Linked DNA regions of Oreochromis niloticus. The protein of the gene in region 1 purifies or fractionates together with the protein of each later gene. This does not show direct contact. Links are inferred from orthologs where the notes say so. Each region holds a gene or a part of one and is shown on either strand. Other genes may lie near its edges.

Region 1 (11,732 bases):
AAAAACAACAAACACACTTTTAGGGTTTTTATTACAAGACCAGAATGTACAATATTGAAGAGGGGTTGGTGAAGAGTGTGCTGGCTGCTGAGGTCCTTCACAGGTGAATAATTTTTCCAGAGTGAGTGTTTGATTATGAGCCCAAGGGGAGGCTGGCACTTAAGGTGATGTAGAGTGGACGAAGGGAAAATGGTTAAATACGTGAATACATAACAGAGCCTGGAGCAGTTCTAAAAGACGGAACGATCTGGAAATATGTGCAAGTAATGAGTTGGTGGGAAACGGGTGCACTAACATGAGATTTGTCAGGAACAGGTGACACTACTCCAGCCAGACTTTCAGTCCATCTAAACTTTTAATCCATCAATAAGTAGCTAAAAAGAAGGATTCACATCATTATTGGACTCCACCCACCCATCCATCCATCCATCCATCCATCCATCCATCCATCCATCTATTCTCTTCCACTTATCCAGTTCAGGGCTACAGGGGACTGGAGCCTATCCCAGCTCCTACATGGTGAGAGGTAGAGTACATCATGGACAGGCTGCCAACCAATCGCAGGGCCAATAAGACACATAAACAAGAGTTCATATTCACCAGTTTAAAATCTCCACTTAACCTAACTCCATACATGTCTTTGGACTCTAGAAGGACGCGGGAATACTGGTAGAGTGTCCACACAAACATGGGAAGAACATGCAAATTCAACAGAGAAAGACATACTAATACTAATAAACATTATACATGTCCACCGGTGTTAATATCTACCACAGTAATGCAGTTCTTGTATCATTAGCTCAGCTATAATCCAATATGTAAAACCAGAGGGTCACTAATGTTATAGAAGTCATCCCAAGGGGACCATGAGTATCTGGAGCACATTAATCATAATCCATCCAATAACTAGGATATCTCTGTCACCACACTCACAAAGACGACACTAGATGTAACACAAACCATCTTCACTGTGTTCACAGTGTTAGTGTTATGTCAGAGCAATTAGCAGTTATCTATATTTAACCCATATTTTCTTTGAAAAAATGAATTGCTGTCCATGAAGCCCATCAAAGGTTAGGCATTTATTAGATGTTTTTGTGCCCGTCCTAAAACTCAAGTTAATTATTATCTGATATAGTGCTACTTAACAAGATTTTCATTAACAATTCAGCTCACTGATAACTGTGATGGTTGAGTTCCTTTTATCATTGCACTGCTCCCTAGTTTTGCTATACCTCTATGTAGAAAAGAGCCTCAGATTCTCTTGACAAATATCGACTCCTCACTTGTCTGTCACTCTTCATTTGTCCTTAAGGGTGACAGTCAATTAGACGAGAGCATTTCCAGGACTTGATTTCACTCAGCTAGCTCTGCAAGGCCTCAAGGAGCAGCTGTTCAGTGAGGTGAGAGGCTGGTGGCTGAGTTTCCAGACCAAAATGGAATTGTGTCCCTATTTTCATCCTGATGCACTAAAAGTGCAGCTTGCCTGAAATTGAAATGAGAGTCTTGCAGTTCTGGGTATCCACACCTGCCTGGTATGCACCTCAATCATTCAGCAGGTTTGACAGTGAGAGCTAAGTTTAAAGAGAGGGAAATGCAATAAACCTGAATATGTAAACATGGCATCTTACAAATATGAAAACCTGGAAAACAACACAATAAAAAAGATCTGTTCATGAGTCAAAATCTCTCTCTCTTGTGGAAGCACAATACATTTTTTGACTCAAGAAAAAATAACAAGTGCTTTCAAATTGGTGTATGTATGAATAGCTCCATTGTCTTGTCTGCTTCTGTGTGAACTACACTCTCTTTTGTGCATAATTAATGCTCTTAAATGTGTGAAAGGTAACCTTGTCTCGTATGCCTCTGCGTGAAAAGTACCCTCTTCTGTGGATAATTAATATTGTCAAATTGTTCTCGGTGTGAGCAGTGTGCTTTCTCCCTTCCCTCTTTACCTTTGTGTTAACAGTATAGTTGTTGCTTTTGTGTGTCAGCTATGTTTATTTCATGTTTTCTAAGTAGAGATTGTTTTGGTTGATTTGGAATTCATTCTTCTTATATAATGAGATTTTCTTTAAAAGCCTAATTCATGCAGCTTAATCAGCAGGCGAGATGGGTATGTTGAGATAAATCTTTTAAGGGGAGACGAGCACGCCCCTGCCAACCACCGCAGGAGGAATGTGGTGCTCTTGATCAAAGTGTAGGACAAACAGACAAACCCTCGTCCTCACTGGACGGACTCCTTGTCTGTCCCCTCTGACTGTCTGTCCTATTTTTAATGGACAGTAAAGTTGTGACATGGCCTGTTTGTCCCATTGTTGACATTCCTCTCTTCTCTTAAGCCCTGGAGGCTTTGTGTTTGTTAAGCTGTAGAGCATCCCTCCTCCTCTTCCTCCCTCTCTCCCCTCTCTCTACTATCAATTACATTAACAGCAGCCCGAAGCTTCCCCCTAGCATGTTGCTCCATTTTGTGACAGGAAGCCTCACTGCTGTTAGTTTATGGCCTTCTGCTACATTATTGCACTACACTGGTAATAGAGCATACTCTCTATTCTAGTCCAGACTTTGTCCTCCAATCCGATCCCTCTTTCCAACGCCAGACATTTTCTGGTGACAATGAAGTATTTTTATGGCTGTGCTGATATCATCACATTTCTGTTTGTCCCTCATCTCCCAGGGCACCGCTTACGGGAAAATAAATTATACAATACAATAGATGGGGTGGATGCTCTGCAGTCAACTTGAGGCCAATTTGCCCTAACATGACTTGGCTTGTGTTTCCAGCTAGCTATACAGCTGAAGGTAATTTGAAAGCTTCTGAAATTTTGTATTCCTGCTTTCTTCCTCGTGTTAATTATGCATTACCAGTAAGAAGCTGGTGGAGCCATGTGGCATGTCAAGTTTACCTCTGATTGGTACCAAGGCCAGAAATACAGGGAGTGCAGAATTATTGGGCAAGTTGTATTTTTGAGGAATAATTTTATTATTGAACAACAACCATGTTCTCAATGAACCCAAAAAACTCATTAATATCAAAGCTGAATGTTTTTGGAAGTAGTTTTTAGTTTTAGCTATTTTAGGGGGATATCCGTGTGTGCAGGTGACTATTACTGTGCATAATTATTAGGCAACTTAACAAAAAACAAATATGTACCCATTTCAATTATTTATTTTTACCAGTGAAACCAATATAACATCTCCACATTCACAAATATACATTTCTGACATTCAAAAACAAAACAAAAACAAATCAGCGACCAATATAGCCACCTTTCTTTGCAAGGACACTCAAAAGCCTGCCATCCATGGATTCTGTCAGTGTTTTGATCTGTTCACCATCAACATTGCGTGCAGCAGCAACCACAGCCTCCCAGACACTGTTCAGAGAGGTGTACTGTTTTCCCTCCTTGTAAATCTCACATTTGATGATGGACCACAGGTTCTCAATGGGGTTCAGATCAGGTGAACAAGGAGGCCATGTCATTAGTTTTTCTTCTTTTATACCCTTTCTTGCCAGCCACGCTGTGGAGTACTTGGACGCGTGTGATGGAGCATTGTCCTGCATGAAAATCACGTTTTTCTTGAAGGATGCAGACTTCTTCCTGTACCACTGCTTGAAGAAGGTGTCTTCCAGAAACTGGCAGTAGGACTGGGAGTTGAGCTTGACTCCATCCTCAACCCGAAAAGGCCCCACAAGCTCATCTTTGATGATACCAGCCCAAACCAGTACTCCACCTCCAACTTGCTGGCGTCTGAGTCGGACTGGAGCTCTCTGCCCTTTACCAATCCAGCCACGGGCCCATCCATCTGGCCCATCCAGACTCACTCTCATTTCATCAGTCCATAAAACCTTAGAAAAATCAGTCTTGAGATATTTCTTGGCCCAGTCTTGACGTTTCAGCTTGTGTGTCTTGTTCAGTGGTGGTCGTCTTTCAGCCTTTCTTACCTTGGCCATGTCTCTGAGTACTGCACACCTTGTGCTTTTGGGCACTCCAGTGATGTTGCAGCTCTGAAATATGGCCAAACTGGTGGCAAGTGGCATCTTGGCAGCTGCACGCTTGACTTTTCTCAGTTCATGGGCAGTTATTTTGCGCCTTGGTTTTTCCACACGTTTCTTGCGACCCTGTTGACTATTTTGAATGAAACGCTTGATTGTTCGATGATCACGCTTCAGAAGCTTTGCAATTTTAAGACTGCTGCATCCCTCTGCAAGATATCTCACTATTTTGGACTTTTCTGAGCCTGTCAAGTCCTTCTTTTGACCCATTTTGCCAAAGGAAAGGAAGTTGCCTAATAATTATGCACACCTGATATAGGGTGTTGATGTCATTAGACCACACCCCTTCTCATTACAGAGATGCACATCACCTAATATGCTTAATTGGTAGTAGGCTTTTGAGCCTATACAGCTTGGAGTAAGACAACATGCATGAAGAGGATGATGTGGACAAAATACTCATTTGCCTAATAATTCTGCACTCCCTGTAGTACATCAAGCATCCCGACTCTAATTGCTTGTCGTATTGAAGCCAGTATGCATTGTAAAACCACACACCATGTGAATTCAATGGAGAGCCACAGCCTTAAATCATTCATTGATTTGAGTGAACTGCAATGGCAGAAAAACGCTGGAAAGTCATGCCGCCTCAGGCTTTGAGCTTCCCCCAAGGATTGTGTGGAGTGATGGTTTTGCACTTCTCCGTGTGCATGCACAGCATGTTTGAGCCACTCAATTTAAGGTATTTCTACACATGAGACGGTAATATTACGCTTCACTTGCTTCAAGCTTGATCTTAAAGCTGACCGTTTGCTCATTTGAACATTGAAATAGCTTTTATTGTTTTAATCATTTCTCCTGTTCATTCACAACCCAGAAACGATATAAAATGAACAGGAATCCTACTGTAAGCAACAACAACAAAAAAAGAAAGAAAGAAAGAAAAAAAAAAGAAATCTCTGAACAGTCTCATTTTTTCTCCCCCGAAACTCTTAAATAAATTGCACATAAATTCCCAATATTGAAACTCATATGTGGACATTAAGGTTTAAGTTCTTTCTTTCTTTTTTTTTTTTTTGTAATAAACAGAAGTTCAATAAACACGGCAGTTAAAAAAAATCTGGCAATTATTTCATGGTTCAGACTTACACCATTAAAAGACACTGGAGAAAAAATAAAAAACTATTTTAAGATAATTGAATGCAAAAATAGTTTTCATCTATTTATTTAGCTCTAACACACTGACATAGTTTATCTCAAGGAGTTAAGATCTTCGGCCAGTTAGATAACTTTATGAGAGTCAAACTCTATATTTCACTGGCCACAAACAGCAAATTTGATCTGAAATGTATTGTTATTATTATTATTATTATGATTATTATAATTCATAAAGAAATGTTAAAAGTTCTGGAAATGTTTACTCTTAATGAAGCATCTGTTTACAAAACACATGATTAGCAGCTCAATATTTTTACACATGCCACTTCCTTAGCTACACCTTTCTAGCACTGGTTCAGAATTCCTTTGACCTTCAGAACTGCCTTAATTCTTCATATCATGGATTTAACAAGCAGCTGGAAACAAAGAGATTTTGGTCCTGACTTGATAGCATCACGGGATTGCTGCAGATTTGCCAGCTGCACATCCATGATTTGATTCTCCCATTCCACCACATCCCAAAGATTTCTGTTGGATTGACATTGGAGACTTTGGAGGGCATTTGAGAACAGTGAACTCACAGTTTTGTCGAAGAAATCAGTCCAATTAGTTCAGTTCATATGTTGTGCCTTTATAAATGCTCTTCTGCATACCTTGGTCAGAGCAAGTGGTTATTTCTCGAAACTGCTACTTTTAAATATCCAAGTATTTTCATTATCGTGAAATATTGCTATTCCCACAGGAGGAGCTAACCAGCAATTTACTGATATAATTTGAAGTATTAAAGATGATTTCTTTGCAATTTTGGCCAATGCTGTCCACCGGACCTCATGTTTAACAATCTGGGGTTTGTAGGCTCAACTCATTTATTCTGAAATTTCAGTGTTTAAAATTAGGCTTTTATTCTGAAGGGCTCGTGCTGCCGGCGGAAGTCGTGGCATGCATGTCATGGCTACCTGTCTGAAAAATCTGTAGCTAAACTTTCACTTTGTTCTGAAAGCACAACGATTATGGCGACGTTTTTTGGGGAAGTCCTGTCGGTTTACTCTCGGGCTGTGGAGGAAGACGACGATGAGCTTGATGAAAACGAGGAAGATGAGCAAATCCGCAGAGAGCTGGAGGAAAAAAGGTAAATAACCAGCTGTAGCATCGGGTAGTGAGCGCAGAGAAAGCATGCAGAGGGGAATCAGGTTTAGTTAATCTAGCTAGTTAGCTATCTTAAATTCAGAGATTATTGCCAGTGAAATACTAAGACGTACAAAAATATGCGGACCATATCATCCCAATTTAAGCATTTTCTCACTCGGTCAGCTGGATGGATATCTGCCGCTGAAGCTAACTGAGCTAACATGACACATGAGTTTTCAGTTCACCCATTCAAACAGCATTTACACACTTAATGCAGGAACCTGTTTTTAACACTTTTATCAAGTGTACAAAAAGATATGGCAACATTGTCATTGCTATTATGCCCTTAAATAAGGAAATGGTTAGTAATAATAATAATAATATTAATGATAATATAGAGTAGTCAAACAAAAAGTTAGGGTAGTGTCAGGAAGGGCATCCTCAAGAATGAGATTTCCATAAAAATCAGTCGAAGCCGGTTTATCAGTGCTGCTGAGTGAAGACGGAGGAAGAGAAGAGGTGTGTTTGGAAGCTGCCAGAGAGAAGGAAAGGTAGGAGGTGAGGGTAAGGACTTTAAATGCAAAGGATTTTAAATGTGAAGCTTCCAGGATGACGGAAAGAGGAAGACAACAGAGAAAAATAATGGATGCAATGAAGGAGGAGATACAGAGGGTTGGTCTGACAGAGGAAGATATTAGGGAGAAAGGGTGAGATGGAGGCGTTATCCATTTCAAAATCATAAAAGTATTTGTATGTGTAGTTTTTCCAGAATTTGTTCCAGAGAATAGCACATTTTAGGAGTGATTTCATGATTATTTTATGTAAAAGAAAAAAAACTTAATTATATTAAAATTAAATTATACTAAAATTTAATTTTTCAAAGCCAAACCAACACATTGTGTGATGACAGGCAAAAAGTAGACACTTTTTTATTTTGTTTTTTTGTCTTTCTTTTCATTCATTATATAGACAAAAGTTCATGTTACACTTCCAGGAGCTGCTCAGCTATGGAAACCTGTAAAATTCCCAGCACACATTTTTGTGCTGATGTTAATGCCAGGGGAAGTTTGGGACTCTGCTTTCAATGAGCAAGCAGAGCGTAGGCGACGTTTACGCTCTGTACGCCTCAGCACTCAGCAATCCAGCCCTGTACATGGTTTCTGAATGCTTCCCAATTCCCATAATACCACTTAAAGTTGTTTGTGGAATATCTAGTAGGGGACAATTTCACAAACTGTTGCAACAGTGGCGTCCTATTACAGCAGGACACTTGAGTTTAGTGAGCTTCGTGGTACGACGTGTGGAAGGCTGTCTAAACTTTAATCTGAGTTTAAATATTTTGTTCACTAAGCTGAGAACCCAGGATACAGATTGGCAGATCTCATTAGGAGGAGCAGTTTTATAAATGTATGAAAATGTTGATTGGGGGAAAAATCTTTAAAATCTTTCTTCTCTATAAAACCAAACAGAGAGGTTCATCTGCACTGGAGCCCCGAAGTCTCTGAGTCGCTGAAGTCTGGAAACAAGTTGCAGTGTTCAAACTTCGTCCTTGCTGTGGGACAAAATGCTTCCAGTAAGTTGCTGCTGTCTCTCTCCTGTCTGCTGACTCGCCTGTGATTGGTTTAACTAGATGCCCAATATTATTACACATTAAATTAATATTTAATATCCCTGTCGGGACACTGGAACACGGTGGACCAAAATGTCAGCTCAGAGGCAGTAACAGAATATTCCCAAGAATCTTTTGTACTTTTAAAAATGATGAGTTGGGGAGCCAGTGAGAATACGGTGCTAAAACACTGCAGGAAGTATAATGCAGACAGTCTACGATTAGTGTTTTGATCATCAGTTAATCTGCAGCTTATTTTCTCAATTATTCAATGAGTCTTGAACCTTTGAATTTGTGGTTTTTTAATTAGTTTTTTTTTTTTACTAACTGTTTTCACTAAGTTGGTGACAGTTTTGTTTCTTTGAAGTGAGGTTTTGATCCACAGCTGTAGGTGGCAGTAGGCCACGCCCCTCGGCAACACTAACGCCGTATGCTACTGTGGACTGGGATAGCAGCAGTTGACATCAGATCTTTTTCAATCCAGTTTTATTTATTTAGCACCAAATGACAACAATAGTTGCCTTAAGGCACTGTATATTGTAAGCCCAGTTAAATAATTTTGTTAGTTTTCCAAGCCTACCTTCAATATGTTAAGTCTGGACTTTTATTTGTGCTCATAATCTTTCCTTTTGCTGTTGTTCCCTTCCGTAAGGGGTACCAGTAGCACTCTTGTTATTTCATGTTTCCTATTTGGAAATAAACACTTGAGTAACTTGTGAGCTTTCTTTGAAAACTGAGAGACTCTGTCTTCACAGGTTTTCTGTCAGTGCACATCCTGTCCACGGCAAACTGGGATACAATCGGACGTGCGTCGGCGTGGAACGAGAGGAGCCGAGCTGTAACGGGGCAAAGCTGCGAGGAATCGGCGTGTGTTTTCTACAGACACAAGGACAACCCAACAGTGAGTGACGCACCGAGCGAGGCAGCACTTCAAAATATGTCTGAAAGCACCTGACGGTCGAGAACTCGATGATCATTCAGTTTAATGGGTTTGCTCCTGAACTTCTGTTTAATATTTTTCAAGTGCTGTTTGAGATGTTCTCTCATTTATATCAAGGGCACTTTATAATGGCTGTGGCCTGTTCGCTGTCGAGCTGCAAACAGATGAGATATTATAAAAGAAAAATCTGAATAAATTACGCGCAGTGCAAGAGTAAAGAATGAAATGCTGGTTCTGTTACAAGACTTGGAAGAGAGGCCATTACACAGAGGATTAATGAACCCTGGTAATCTAGTGTCTGTTGTCAGAGTTATAACCGACCGGTTGATTGTGTGTAGAACCGCCTGCCCTCATCCACACGTGATTCAATCGAGATAAATGTAGTGAACGGTTGCTCCTGTGCTGCCGAGGAAGCTTCAGATTTATCACACGTGTCCTGCTGCCTTCAGGTGGCTGCTGGGATTTAATGTACTGGAGGACCACAGGAGCAGCTGTGGACAGCAGATACCACAACAGTTGGCCATTAATTTAAAGATCACTGATTTACTAAAAGTCCTGTTAGCACAACCTTCATTTTTAATGCTGATTTAAAGGGTGGGGAGTGTGTTTTAGACAGTAGTTGGTGTGTATGGTGAAAAATAATGCAGCAAAAGCGGGGATATTAAGTCCAAATAAAGCTCTCGGTTCAGTGTAGGATCAATAAACGTGATTTTTCTTTGAAGAGTTGAGAAGCCTGAAGATGTTTGTAATGCGTCCACTTTAATCAGTCATCAGTGGAAGAAGATAAATCATTGATTTATCTTTTTTGATAAAGGCAAAATACCCAGTGTTTGCTGACCTCATGTTCTTGATTGAAATCTGGGAGAATTAACTGACTAAATAGTAAAGTAATGCTCTAACATAACCAACAAAATCAGTTGTAGAGTGTTGAATCAAACTAATTTAGCTACGTATTTAGCGGAGGGGGTGGCTACAGCCTGTCCCCTGTCCTAGACCGAGAGGCGGGTTACACCCTGGAAAAGGTCACCAGTTCATCCCAGTGAAAGACAACCATTCTCTTTCACATTCACACCCAGTTTAGCCAATTTAGAATCACCTAAACTCATCTTTGTCTTTCTGTGGGGCTCCAAATTTACCGGTCCCATGTCTTTCAGTGTCTGTGTTTTGGCTGGTAAACATCTTGTAGTTGGGTTTGCAGTAGAGTGTTACATCCCACAATGCAACAGTAAAAAAAAAAAAAAAAAGGCCACATGAACTTCTGGATTCTTTGAATATTTAAGAATGTTACAGCTATTTAAGCATTAATCCATACTTGTGGGTCCTCTGGGTGTTTAGTTTGACTTTAACTCAATAACTTTAACTAATTATTGTAGAGCTTAAAATGTTGATTTACTCTTCTCTGATTTAATCTAATTTAATCAGTTAGAATACAGGGAAGTCCTGTTACATTTGAATGTTAAAGGTCGGAAAATGTTTTTTTTTTTAATTACAAAAGCATAGTTGTTGCATAAAAAGTTTTTTTTTTCTTTCCTTGAAGGTTTTGATATGCCAGGTGTCGTGCTACGTTGCAGAAGACCAGCTTTTTCAGTGGACAGAAAAGGTATGTTTAATGAACTAAGCGAAGAACTGCAGGGAGATTGTGTTATGTTGTCATTCTAGACTTTTTTAATGATGTGAAATGTGGGCCAGTGGTTGTTGACGACCCATTCTGAGGTCTTGAGCTGAGCATTTTTGACACTGAATGCTCATAAGCTAAGCACGATTTAAAGAAAGCCCTGCTTCATGCAAGAAACTACCGGCTGAGCCTATAAACTCAGATTAGAGATGTCAAATAAAACTTCTGGGTTGGGGTTAGGGCCTTGATTTTACAACAGAAGGAGTTGTCCCCTGAAGTTTAATGCATTTAAACTTCAAACTTCCATCATTTATATACAGTTTATTGTTTCTTTGTGCAGAGCCGTTCAGGCCGGCATCTGCTTCTCAGTCTCTAAACCGATAAAGCTTAAGGTTTGCTATAATATACATTTATCAGTATCTCATCCAGGCATGATCAAGAAGCGCAGATTTTCAGACCAAACAGGAGAACTGTGATAAAGTGTGATCTTGTGATGGTTGTTGGTGCCATGCAGGCTGGTTATAGAGATCAGAAACTGCTGATCTCCTGGGATTTGTTATAGTGCAAAGCAGGGTAGCATCTCTGTACACACTAAACCTTCAAATTGGCTACAGCAGCAGGAGACCAAAGCAAATTTCACTCCATTTGGCTGAGAACAATAAACTAAGGCTGTACTAGACACCAGTAAACCAAAACAGGAGCAAATTGGAAAAATACCAACCGGTCTCACGAGTCTCCAGTTCTGCTGCCAAATAGGGCAGAATTTGGTGTAAACAACATCGATCTATCCTGCTTCGTGCCAAAGGTTCCGGCTGGTGGTAGTGTGGAACTTTTTCTTGGTACATATTAGGTCCCTTATGTGTTCTATAATAAATCAACCGCTGAGTGTACAGTAATTATTTATTTACTGGCATTTTTTAACCACACACTGAGATTACAGTGAGACATGGAGGTGGTTTTTCAGCGTGACCAGCATGGTTAAAGTGTTGTTTGCCTGACTGTGTGTTTCTTTTGTCTCCTGTAGGTGTTTGACTGTCTGCAGCACAGAGAGCTGAATGTGACGGTGCTGTCAGACACCTCTGTGGCTGATTATAAGACGGCAGACTATCTGGGTGGCAGCTCCGCTCCCTTCCTGCGCTCTCTCCACACCAGTGCTTTCGGTGATCAGCCTGTCTGCCAGTCACTGGAGCAACCCAACATAGTTACTGGACTTCCAGCTGCAGGTATTACTATCGCACGACTGTATGACTCGGATGTCTCAGACTTAAACTGTTCGTACTTCTTT
Region 2 (10,391 bases), on another chromosome or scaffold:
TAAGGAGCACTTTAGATTCAGTTTGTAGAGATCACAAAATTCTTATCTGCTAAGCCTGCTGAGATATATTCTCGCATCAATATATAGATATTTTTTTCGTCATTTTGACAGATTTCTTGTCAATGCTTTACTTAGCAGCTCAAAACTGAAACTAATTGAAGGTGTCAACTAAGGAAAACCATGGAGGAGAGTTGTACCATCAGAAATGCAAACTTCAAATTTAACAGTCAAGTAATTTTTTTACATGCTAATGTAGTGTGACTTATGCCTTTGCAACACAAATTTCAGTCAAATCCCAGGGTTGACTGAAAGGGTTGAAAATTCAACTGTGTTGAAACTACCTCCAACATATCTTGAGTATTCACTCTAAAAACCAGCCTAGCTAATATAAAAATATCTGTCCTTGTTAGGAATCACAGTGACAGCACATCCCCCACAGAGAAAAGAAATAGACTCCTGCTTTGAATACATGTGAAATGAGTTTTGCTACATGCCCACAGGCATTGGTTGGGAAATGCATTCTGTGCCTATTTGCATAAAGGACATCTTTCTAGTTAGCAATTCATATCTACAAATGTTCTGGTCCACAGCTATGAGGACAGTTTATCTGGAAAGCAAACAGGACTGCAGTCTGGGTAATATATAGACCACAAATGCATGTTTGAATATTCAGCAGCTAATAAATATAGAAAAAGTGCTGAGAAATTCTGCCTGCCTGCAGGCAATTCACTTTTTATTTAAATGTTTAGTTTGAAAATGAAGGAGCAGAAACTGAAATATAAATGTCGTTTTTATATGTGAATGTGATTGATTCATTTGGGTTTGGTGGAATTGGTTTGATAGTGTCGAGACAGAGACTCATGAAAACACCTGCGCCTGTTTTTGCACCATCAAGATAAAACAAGGCAATTCTGCAATTTTTTTGGCTTTTGGGTTCCTAAATTTCCCTCAGTATGCTGTATTTGAAATAAAATCTCATGTGCAGGATCTGGGCTCTGGTAGACTTTTAGTGCCAATGCATGAAGTCACTTCAACATTAAGAGCTCTGATTTGCTGCAGTTTCTTATTACCATGGAGAAATCCCACACAGCTGGGTGATGAATCTGTGCCTCGCTATCTGACAAACTAATTGAGTGGGTTGACTAAGAAACACAGGGTCTTGCTGCCTGGCCTGGCTGTTCGAGTCAAGAGGCTGAGAGAAAAGAACATTACTCATTAGAGATTTGAAAAGTTCCTTTCTGATTCAGTATGTGAGTGCTGGTACTGGTATTGCTCATTTTGTGGGGACAAATCTGTTCAAACAGTCATATTTAATGGACGTGCCCACCTTTTGTGACAAAAATAAACAAATCCCAACTAATGGAAATTTGTGAAATTTTATTAATAAGAAGGTTCGAGGTAAGGATTTGGCATATAATACGGTTGGAGTCTAAAGTTTCAGAAAATATATGCATACTAAAGATTAATGTCAACCATAAGAGTGGTGGAAAAACCAGAGAAGCTGGGGTTACTTGTTAAAGAGCTCCATCTAATGGTCAGTGATATTAAAACTACACTCATTTGCCACTATATTAGGTATGCCTGTTCAATAAGTCGTTAATGCAAATATCTAATCAGCTAATCATATGGCAGCAACTCTGTGCATTTAGGCTTGTAGACATGGTCTATTCAAGGTCAAACTGAGCATCTGAATGGGGAAGAAAGGTGGTTTAAATGGCTCTAAACATGACGTGGTTGTGGGTGACTGCTCTGCGTGTTTCAGAAACTGCTGAACTGCTGGGATTTTAGCACAAAACCTCACAGAATGGTCCAAAAAAGATCAAATATCCAGTCCCTCACCCTGCCAGAGTATTGTTTCTGACCATGGCTGCTGATGGCTGCTTCCAGCAGGATAACATGCCATGTCACAAAACTTTAATCATCTGGTTTCTTGAACCTAACAATGAGTTGACTGTACTTAAAGGGCCCCCACAGTCACCAGATCTCAAACCAATTAAGCACATTTGGGATGTGGTAGAAAGGGAGAATCACAACATGGACAAATCTGCAGCAGCTGTGTGATGCTATCATTTCAATATGGACCAAAATCTCTGAGGAATGTTTTCAGTACTTTGTTGAAGCTATGCCATGAAGAATTAAGGCAATTCTTAAGGCAAAAAAGGGCTAAAGTCAAGACCTATAGAGATGTATCTAATTTTTATTTATTTATTTATGTATTTATTTATTTATTTGTACCTGGGCTTGTAAAATATCAGTCTTGGTCTTGACTTATAATGAACTTCTATGTCCTACCGTTAAGTAATACAACTGAGCAAAACAACATTTTATTTTGAAAGTACTTTCCGGAAGACTAATTAATGTCAGGCTATGTTGCCAAGTAACTTACTGAGATATTTTCAAAGCTTCTGCTGTCATCAGCTGATAAGTTTAGACATTTATTGGCAGCAGTCATGAGGTGATGTATATTTTACATCATAATGACGTTTGCATATGATAAGAAGTCACGTGTGTATCACACAATGTAAATACTGTAGATATTATTTCCCTGGCTTAAGTTAGCTAACGTTAGCTGTTTGATGCCTTAGCTTAGTTCCCAGATAAATTGCAAACTTTAAATCATCTTATTTTTGTATTGTACATAGTTGGGACAACATTTTTATGACTTTTCCATTATGCAGAAGTTTTTATGCCGTTTTATTGATACATACACACAGAGAATCAGAATACTTTATTGATCCATAGGGAAAATTATGTAGAACAAAAACTCTCTCAATCCACATGATTGGGGGAAAGATAATAAACAGATGAAAGTACAAGTAAGGGAAAAAAAAGCTAAACTAACGAGAAAAAAGCAAGACAAACTGCAGCAGGCTGTGACAGGCTGCATGCTGGTCGGCGCATGCGCACTGAAAACCCCGTTTTTATTTTATCACAGTAATTACCAATATGCTATGTCAGAAATTGCTTGAATAAGTTATTATTCTGGCATAGTATTACTAAGGCAATTTAATAGGCAACTAATGTGCTGCTGTGTATGATATTTTAGAAAATGACTGCACATTTTTATATTTAAAGTCCTAATAACAGTTAACCTTAACAGTTGGTTAAAAGTAATGGAAAATGTACATTAAAAAAATCAGCTTAATTCCTCCCAAATAAAAGGACGGTGAATTACCAATATAAAGTCAATTAAAATGACTAAAATTTGAATAAAGTAAAAGTGCATACCACCAGATTATACGAAAAATAAGTATCTAAGTCAGTGTAAATATTCCACTATTGGTTCTCTCATCAGTAGAACTCATCATAAGATACATTATGCAATATATTGTAATGTAAAAAATAATCGGTCTCTTTGTCCTTCCTTCTCATGTTTCCTCTTCTGTAGCTTGCAGGAGGAGGAGCCCCAACAAGGGACACTGCAGGAAGTGGCAGTCAGAATAATTCAGAGGGCTTGGAGAGGATATGTGGTAGGAGCATCTGCTACTACTGCTATGGGAACACAGACTCACATATGTGCACAATTGTAGGCACAACTTGTTTTTATCTACCCAAATTGCAGGCCAGTGAAGTCTTCAGGTATTTCAAAGAGCTGATTTTCTACTGCAAACAGCGGGATCCAAAGACCATCCTCAAAACTGTCAATCCTCGAGAGGTAATGGAAATTGCAACCCCTATGAAATAAAACCAAATCAAACAAAATGAAATGTGATTTTGTTGTGGCAGGCCGAACTACTGGATGCTGCAGCTGGAGTGTTTATCAGATTTCGACTTGGAGGGGTAAGAGCTCAGAGAGGAAATAGTATAGGTCAGGAATAGATCACTCAGGAGCTATATGGATATGATATTAGAGACATGCCTTCTGACATCTAACCTCTCTGCCACTTTAGATCAACTTTCCTCCCAATATCTATTACAAGATCTTCACCCATCGGCCCATTACGGATGTGTGTGCAGGCAGTCCGAAAGACTACACCAAGCAAAGCCGTAGGAAGCTTGTGGCCCAGAAGACCAACAAAGGCCCAGCCGTCGCAAAGGATGACCGATTGGGTTGGTACCAGCGCATGGAGAACAATAGTTGGAGGCTGTTCTGTAACAAGGTGAGGAACAAAAATGAGTTTTTGTTCTGCTTTAGTCAAGTTCTGCCATTTGTTTAGAAACAGTGAGCCAAAGAGCTACAGCAAGTTTACAAATGCTTTTTAACAGGAAGCTTCTAAAAGCCAAAGTTCTGCAAGTCTGTTTTTTTTTTGTTTTTTGCTTCGTCTTCTCTCTTAGGTGGTTTTAGCATGTGAGCCTGCAGAGATCGGTGCTGACAAAAAAATGGACTTTCATTACTCCAAGTTGCAGCGGAAGCAAGATTTAGAGAGGTGGAGGAAGAGAAAGAAAATTGAATGGCTGAAACAGATGTAAGCGCTTTTGTGAAATGAAACAGTTGGCGAGCAAACCACTGTGGCATCAGTGATCACAATAATTTAAATGCAATCTGAAGTTTGTGTCTGTTATTTATTAATAGTGATAGAAACCTCCCCCTTATAGAATCACATCTTTGCTAACAAACACATAATGGTGTGTTGCTTTAATTGTGCTAAATGAGCTGTCACTCCTGTTCCTTACATACAGGTATAAAGAGGGTCGTCTGCAGGATCATGCGGAGCACAGACACATGGCGGCCCTGGTGGAGAGTTCCACCCAGGAATTCATGGAGACCGTTGAAAAGAAAGGAGATGATGAAATACTGGAATGGGAGCTGGATGAGCTGCTGGCCTGGACCAACACTCTAAACTTCGAGGAGTAAGGCACACTGATTAGAATGTTTGTGGCATTTGTAATTTTTCTTATAATTTCCCGCATCGTAGGATGTACCCCGCCCCCCCACCACCACCACCACCACCGAGTATGAATTTTCCTCTCTTGCCTGTGCAGGTATATGGAGGAATGGAGACATTTGGCCTGTAGTTACTCCTCTGAGCAGAGCAAAGGTAAAAATATTCCCTAAATACTGTATTCTGTGCTGCCATCTGATTTTTTTAAATTGATAGCTAACATGGCAACATCATGTAGGTTGCTTTGGAAGTCTTTGGATGATCCTGATAATCCAGTCTCATGCTATTCTGTCTTCCTTTTTCTTCATCACCTTTTTCTCATATCTCCTACAGATGGCCCTTCTCACCCACCCAGGTTAGATCCACACGAGCTGGCAGCAGAACAAACATGATTTATGTTAAAACTGTGCAGTCTCGAAGTGGAGTGTGCCACACTGTTATTGTTGCAGTATTCACTTTAATAAAGTCTGAAACTTGCAGTTGTTTACAGTCTTTGTTAGTCTGTCATATAAGTAGACATCACTGTGTGCCATTTTTTGTTAGTGTGTAGACTATAGTTTGTTACAGTAACAGTGTGTTAAACCACATTCCGAATTCCAGAGAGTCAGACTGCCAAAAATTGTCCTTAATCATCAGCTCGCAAACATCTGCAAATCAACGTACAGCTGATATCCGGTGTGTTTGTATCCGTCTGATAGCTGGAAATCACCATGTGCCTATGGATTGCTGAGGTGACTGAATTGGCAGATCACCAGCTTCTACTGAATCAATTCCACATCCTTAGTTTCTCATGGAATAATGAGACATTTGGTCAATTTTCCAATACTTCTTGTGCTCAGAAGTACTTCTACTTCTGAGCATCTTAAAATCCAGTGCTGCATGAAAATGACTCCCCTTGTCTTCAATCACGTCTTGACTGTTCAATTCAAATATATGCTGGTGGTATATGAAGGCAAAATGACAATCCCAACTGGATCTAACTGTATTTATGGCTTTTGTGTTTCTTAACTTGATATCCGAGGGTGTTCAGCTCATTGTGGGAGCACACTGTACCACTGTAGAGAGAAGTGCATTTTACAGGTCAGCCTTACTTGTTACTTGTTTGATTGAAGCCATGTATCTGTAAATGTAATGCTACATAGTATGGTAATTGATGTAACAGATATTCTGGCTGTTATCATTATTATTATTATTATCATTAAATTCCAAAAGCTGTACTTGTCATTAAAGTGATAAATTAAAGTTTTGCAAATGACTAACGCAAAAATTGGAAAACAGGGGGCACCCGGATTTGAACCGGGGACCTCTTGATCTGCAGTCAAATGCTCTACCACTGAGCTATACCCCCTCACGTTTAGCACAGCGGACGCATACGTATTTGTCATGATCATAATCATTCCCCACACGAAGTTGGGAGTTCATGTTTCTATCTTCAGTTAAGTGATAACGAATTGATTTCGTATACTTTAGATACTGTACAGCACACGATAGTATGTTTAACTGGAAAGACGTGGTTCTGTACATAACGCTATCAGCGGATGTGTCGTCATCAAAACGAGACGCTACCGGATACAGCAGTGTATCGAAAGGAAAGGGGAACAAACGAAGTGAAAATGGTATGATAGCGTTTTTAATGCCTATACCATATTTTTTAAATATCTTAAGCCTTGTTGTTGCGTACTCTCTTTGCTTTAATAATCTGTGTGATCATTTGAAGTCTCGGTGGTGAAGCTGTTTGTTTTTAACCGTGCCCAAACTGAGTAGCTGTGAATTTGATTAGTCACTCGAGCTAATGCCAGCTAGCGCTTAGGTTAGCCACAAGGTCCCTTAGATAAATACAACTTCCAGTATTTGTTGCTATTAGCTACATTAGATAGCCATTAGCTAAGTGTGATCAAATGTAAATGGTTTATGTATGTCTTTGATGTGGACTACAGAATTCCAGAGGACTTCGCTCTCAGCTTAAGGACAGTGTACCTGTGGCTGGGTTCTCTCCACAGGGAGCTTACGGAGTGCAGGACTCCCTCCGTAGTGGGTGAGAAACTGTTAAAAATGAAACACAGTTGCATGATAACCTCAAAAAACACATTTTTGTATTAGCCCCCAAATAAAGAACAACGTGCTGTTTGTAACACTTTTTTTTTTCTCTACTACTTTTATTAAACAGATTTACCAGTGTTAAGAATGAACTGCTTCCAAGCCACCCGCTGGAGCTGTCAGAAAAAAATGTGAGTCATTAAACCAATTAATGCTGTCTCCATAAAATGCTTAAATGGTATTTGTGTTTTGTGCTTGGTTTTACTATAAAAATTACTTTTTTTGTCAAATGCAGCTCAGTTTAATCACAATAGACACAAAGGGCAAGTAGTAAAAATACGTTTCTCTCGGTATCTCACTGTTTTCTGTTTCTCCATGAGCAGTTCCAGTTGAACCAGGATAAGATGAATTTCTCAACACTCAGAAACATCCAGGGTCTTCACGCTCCTCTCAAACTGCAAATGGAGTACAGGGCGGCCCGACAGGTAGCTGCAGTCCTTTTTTAGGGTGTTCTCTTGTTTTGTTTTCTTTTTTCCTTCTCAGTCCTGACACCAACTGTTTCTTCCCTCCAGATCCAGCGTCTCCCATTCCTACAGAGCTCAAATTTGGCTCTCGATACGCTGCGAAACAGCGATGAGTCCATTGGATTTGAAGACGTCCTCAACGGTGGGAACCTTGTCCTTCCCTTTTACACCTTCAGTGATATGTGTGTTGAAATAAAACCATAGCTTATACTGTGCTTTTGTCTTTTTCCTTTATAGATCCAGCCCAGAGTGAAGTGATGGGTGAGCCACACATGATGGTGGAGTACAAATTGGGATTGTTGTGAACAGAGTTGGGCACACAGATCCATATTATTATTATGTATGAATACATTTGTTTATCAACTCCATAACCAAAGTTAGTAGTTGGTGGAGAGTTTTAGTTGTGGAGTACTTTTGAGCAGGACGTGTATGTGTGTGTGTGTAGTGATCTTGAAAAGAGTCACTCACACAGGCTGCTTTTGTATGATTTAATTTGGTTATTTCTAATAAACTTCATGACTCTCCTCATTGTCCTGGTTCATTTGATCAGTTATTTACATTTTTAGATGAGCTTGCGCTGATAAAATTACCTGGCATGTGTTCAGAGAGAAGGTGTAACAAAGCCTCACTACCCACTCTGAGTATGTTCACCTGTATAGCTAACATTGATTTGCCAATGCAACAGGTTAATAAAGAGCAACACTTGTATTTTAATCCATGTTATTCTTCACTTCACTCATTCTTCATTTGCCTAACTTGAAGTGTCCTTAAAAAAGTCATTGATATCTAAATCGTTCTTTTTCATCCCACAATTAAATTCTTCAAATATGTTATTTAAGTCTAATTGCATGTTTATACGACTGTACTCTCCATTTAGAGTTTAAGGAGCTGTTGGCAAGGCTCTCCACTTTCTCTTTTAAAATTTGCACTGTGAAGCCCGGGGTTGTTAACATTAATAGCAGGGTGGAAATCATTGAGGTTGAATTCATAATGGCTGCTGCTTGGTGGCATGGGCTGATCAAACATCTGCAACCAGTTGAAAAAACGCAGAGTATAGGTTTGTGATTGATGTTTTTCTGGGTGATGTATGATGCTCATGTGAAAATGTGCTAAAGAGAAATCCTACAAATTAACCCTAAAAAGGCACATCTGTGAAGTGAAAACCATTTCCGGTGACTATATCATGATGCTCATTGAGAGAAGGTTAAGGGTTTGTGGCACTGAAATAAGCAAAGCGTGGCTACTTTCAGGAATCTAAAATATAAAACATATTTAGTTATTTATCATTCTTTTTCGATGCTACATGATTCCATATTTCTTGCTTCATTTATTTGATGACTTCAGTTTGTATCTACAATATAGAAAAACCATGACAATGTGTGTCCAAACTTTTGACTGGTAGCTTTCAGGACAGTCGTTCATACATGCCTCTTCATTTGCTCTGATGTGTGACTTTCAGAAAAGGACTTGGTGCATTTTTTTGTGTGGCTTGTTGGTCTAGGGGTATGATTCTCGCTTAGGGTGCGAGAGGTCCCGGGTTCAAATCCCGGACGAGCCCATATGTTGTCTACGGGACCAAAATGTTGTTTAGCCTCTATTTGATCCAGCAGTCAGTGAGATGTTCTCTACAGATGCAAATCACACATGTTCCCATAGTATCTCATTTAGGAGCAGCTAAGAGATCTGATATAAATGACATCATTGGCCTTGGCCAAATAGAAAACACCCACAAATACTCCCAAAAATCTAGTGTTGTGTTCCTTTTTTATTTTCAAATATTGAATAACAAGACAAAACTGCAAAGGTGAATTAATTATTTTCGCACTCTTAATTAACTGAAGCTTTTCACTGAACTACCAAATAAACAACTTGGTACTCTCTTTCTGGCCAGTGTCATTGAAGTTTTTAAATAAACTATAAACATTTGATGAGTGTCTTTTGAAGTGGATTTTAATATTACGCTGCAGCCGAGAGAGCACTCTGGTCAAACGTCAAAATGGTCTCTAAGTGTACACATTCTTTTTTGACTGCTAGTGAAAAGTGTTTACTTTACAAATAACTCTCTCACTGAACTAACAGCCAATCCCTCAACAAGTTTGTGCTCTCTGTTCATATTGCCTTCATATTAAATCATTTTGTGCTTTTTAAAGAAATTATTTTTACATTGCACTCAACAACAAACAAATCCTCCCTAACAACAAAAGTAACTTCAATGGCGAAATTGCATTATATTTCTTCAGGTCAATATACAGGCTGCAAGTAGGAGTGAGGCCGCGAGTTTGAGACCCTTGCTAAAATGAAATGGTGCAGTCCCAGGTATTTAAACACCAGTGGGATGTGTCCCTTAAAGGAATCCAGACACTCATCTTTCAAAGCTCCTTAGACTAACAGGCCCTGGATGACTGAGAACAGACAAAACTACTAACTTTTAGGCACTGCTGGGAGTTGAACCCAGGATCTCCTGTTTTCTAGTTTAACACTTACTAGACAGGCACTTTAACCAACTAAGCCACAGTGCCACATACATGCCACACAGATCAGTGACTGATGAACACTGAGAAAACCTCCAACCATTAAATAGATTTGAGCCTAAACAGAAACACATGAAAGGCAGTCTTGTTTCTTATATTAATCACCAGAGGTTGTCGCATAAAAAGAGACGACGTGTTAAAAACTCAGGGGTTAAAAGTGGGACGGTGTTTTTGTTTTGCTAACTCTCCACGACACTCTAAACGTCAGGCTGCTCATCTTCAGTCAGCCTCCTCCATTGCCCCTTGATGCCCACTCACACTAGTCAGCTTCTACAGCAGTGGGTGGGGTAACTGCAGAGTTACTGTAGTTTTGCTTTTTCATTTTTTCCATTTTTTCATTTGTTTTTAATTTTGTCTAGTTTCACTTACTTTCTATTGTGAGTTTATGTATTTTAGTTTAGTTTTTATTGTTTGAAATTGTTTTGCTTTTCATTACAATTTTCAGTTCGATTCTATTTTATTTATATAAATAAAAT

Evidence for each region.
Region 2: the proteins of psmg1 (region 1) and pomp purify together in Homo sapiens (affinity purification with mass spectrometry; 4 studies listed by BioGRID and IntAct, with this or other methods). This does not show direct contact. The link is inferred for Oreochromis niloticus from reciprocal best matches to the Homo sapiens genes PSMG1 and POMP.

Annotation. Positions count from the first base shown.
Region 1 is NC_031975.2:24,231,954-24,243,685, reverse strand, and holds the start of psmg1 (proteasome assembly chaperone 1), read left to right. Parts: upstream 1-6,061; 5' UTR 6,062-6,165; coding exon 6,166-6,284; intron 6,285-7,752; coding exon 7,753-7,856; intron 7,857-8,647; coding exon 8,648-8,793; intron 8,794-10,369; coding exon 10,370-10,432; intron 10,433-11,471; coding exon 11,472-11,670; intron 11,671-11,732. UniProt on the Homo sapiens protein: Chaperone protein which promotes assembly of the 20S proteasome as part of a heterodimer with PSMG2.
Region 2 is NC_031974.2:26,855,504-26,865,894, reverse strand, and holds pomp (proteasome maturation protein), read left to right. Parts: upstream 1-6,279; 5' UTR 6,280-6,361; coding exon 6,362-6,439; intron 6,440-6,760; coding exon 6,761-6,858; intron 6,859-6,990; coding exon 6,991-7,051; intron 7,052-7,243; coding exon 7,244-7,345; intron 7,346-7,432; coding exon 7,433-7,526; intron 7,527-7,621; coding exon 7,622-7,689; 3' UTR 7,690-7,913; downstream 7,914-10,391. Other genes in the region: lg9h11orf65 (protein MFI), read left to right, coding at 2,451-2,455, 3,389-3,470, 3,563-3,655, 3,727-3,780, 3,891-4,100, 4,276-4,406, 4,621-4,791, 4,924-4,979 and 1 more. UniProt on the Homo sapiens protein: Molecular chaperone essential for the assembly of standard proteasomes and immunoproteasomes. Degraded after completion of proteasome maturation. Mediates the association of 20S preproteasome with the endoplasmic reticulum.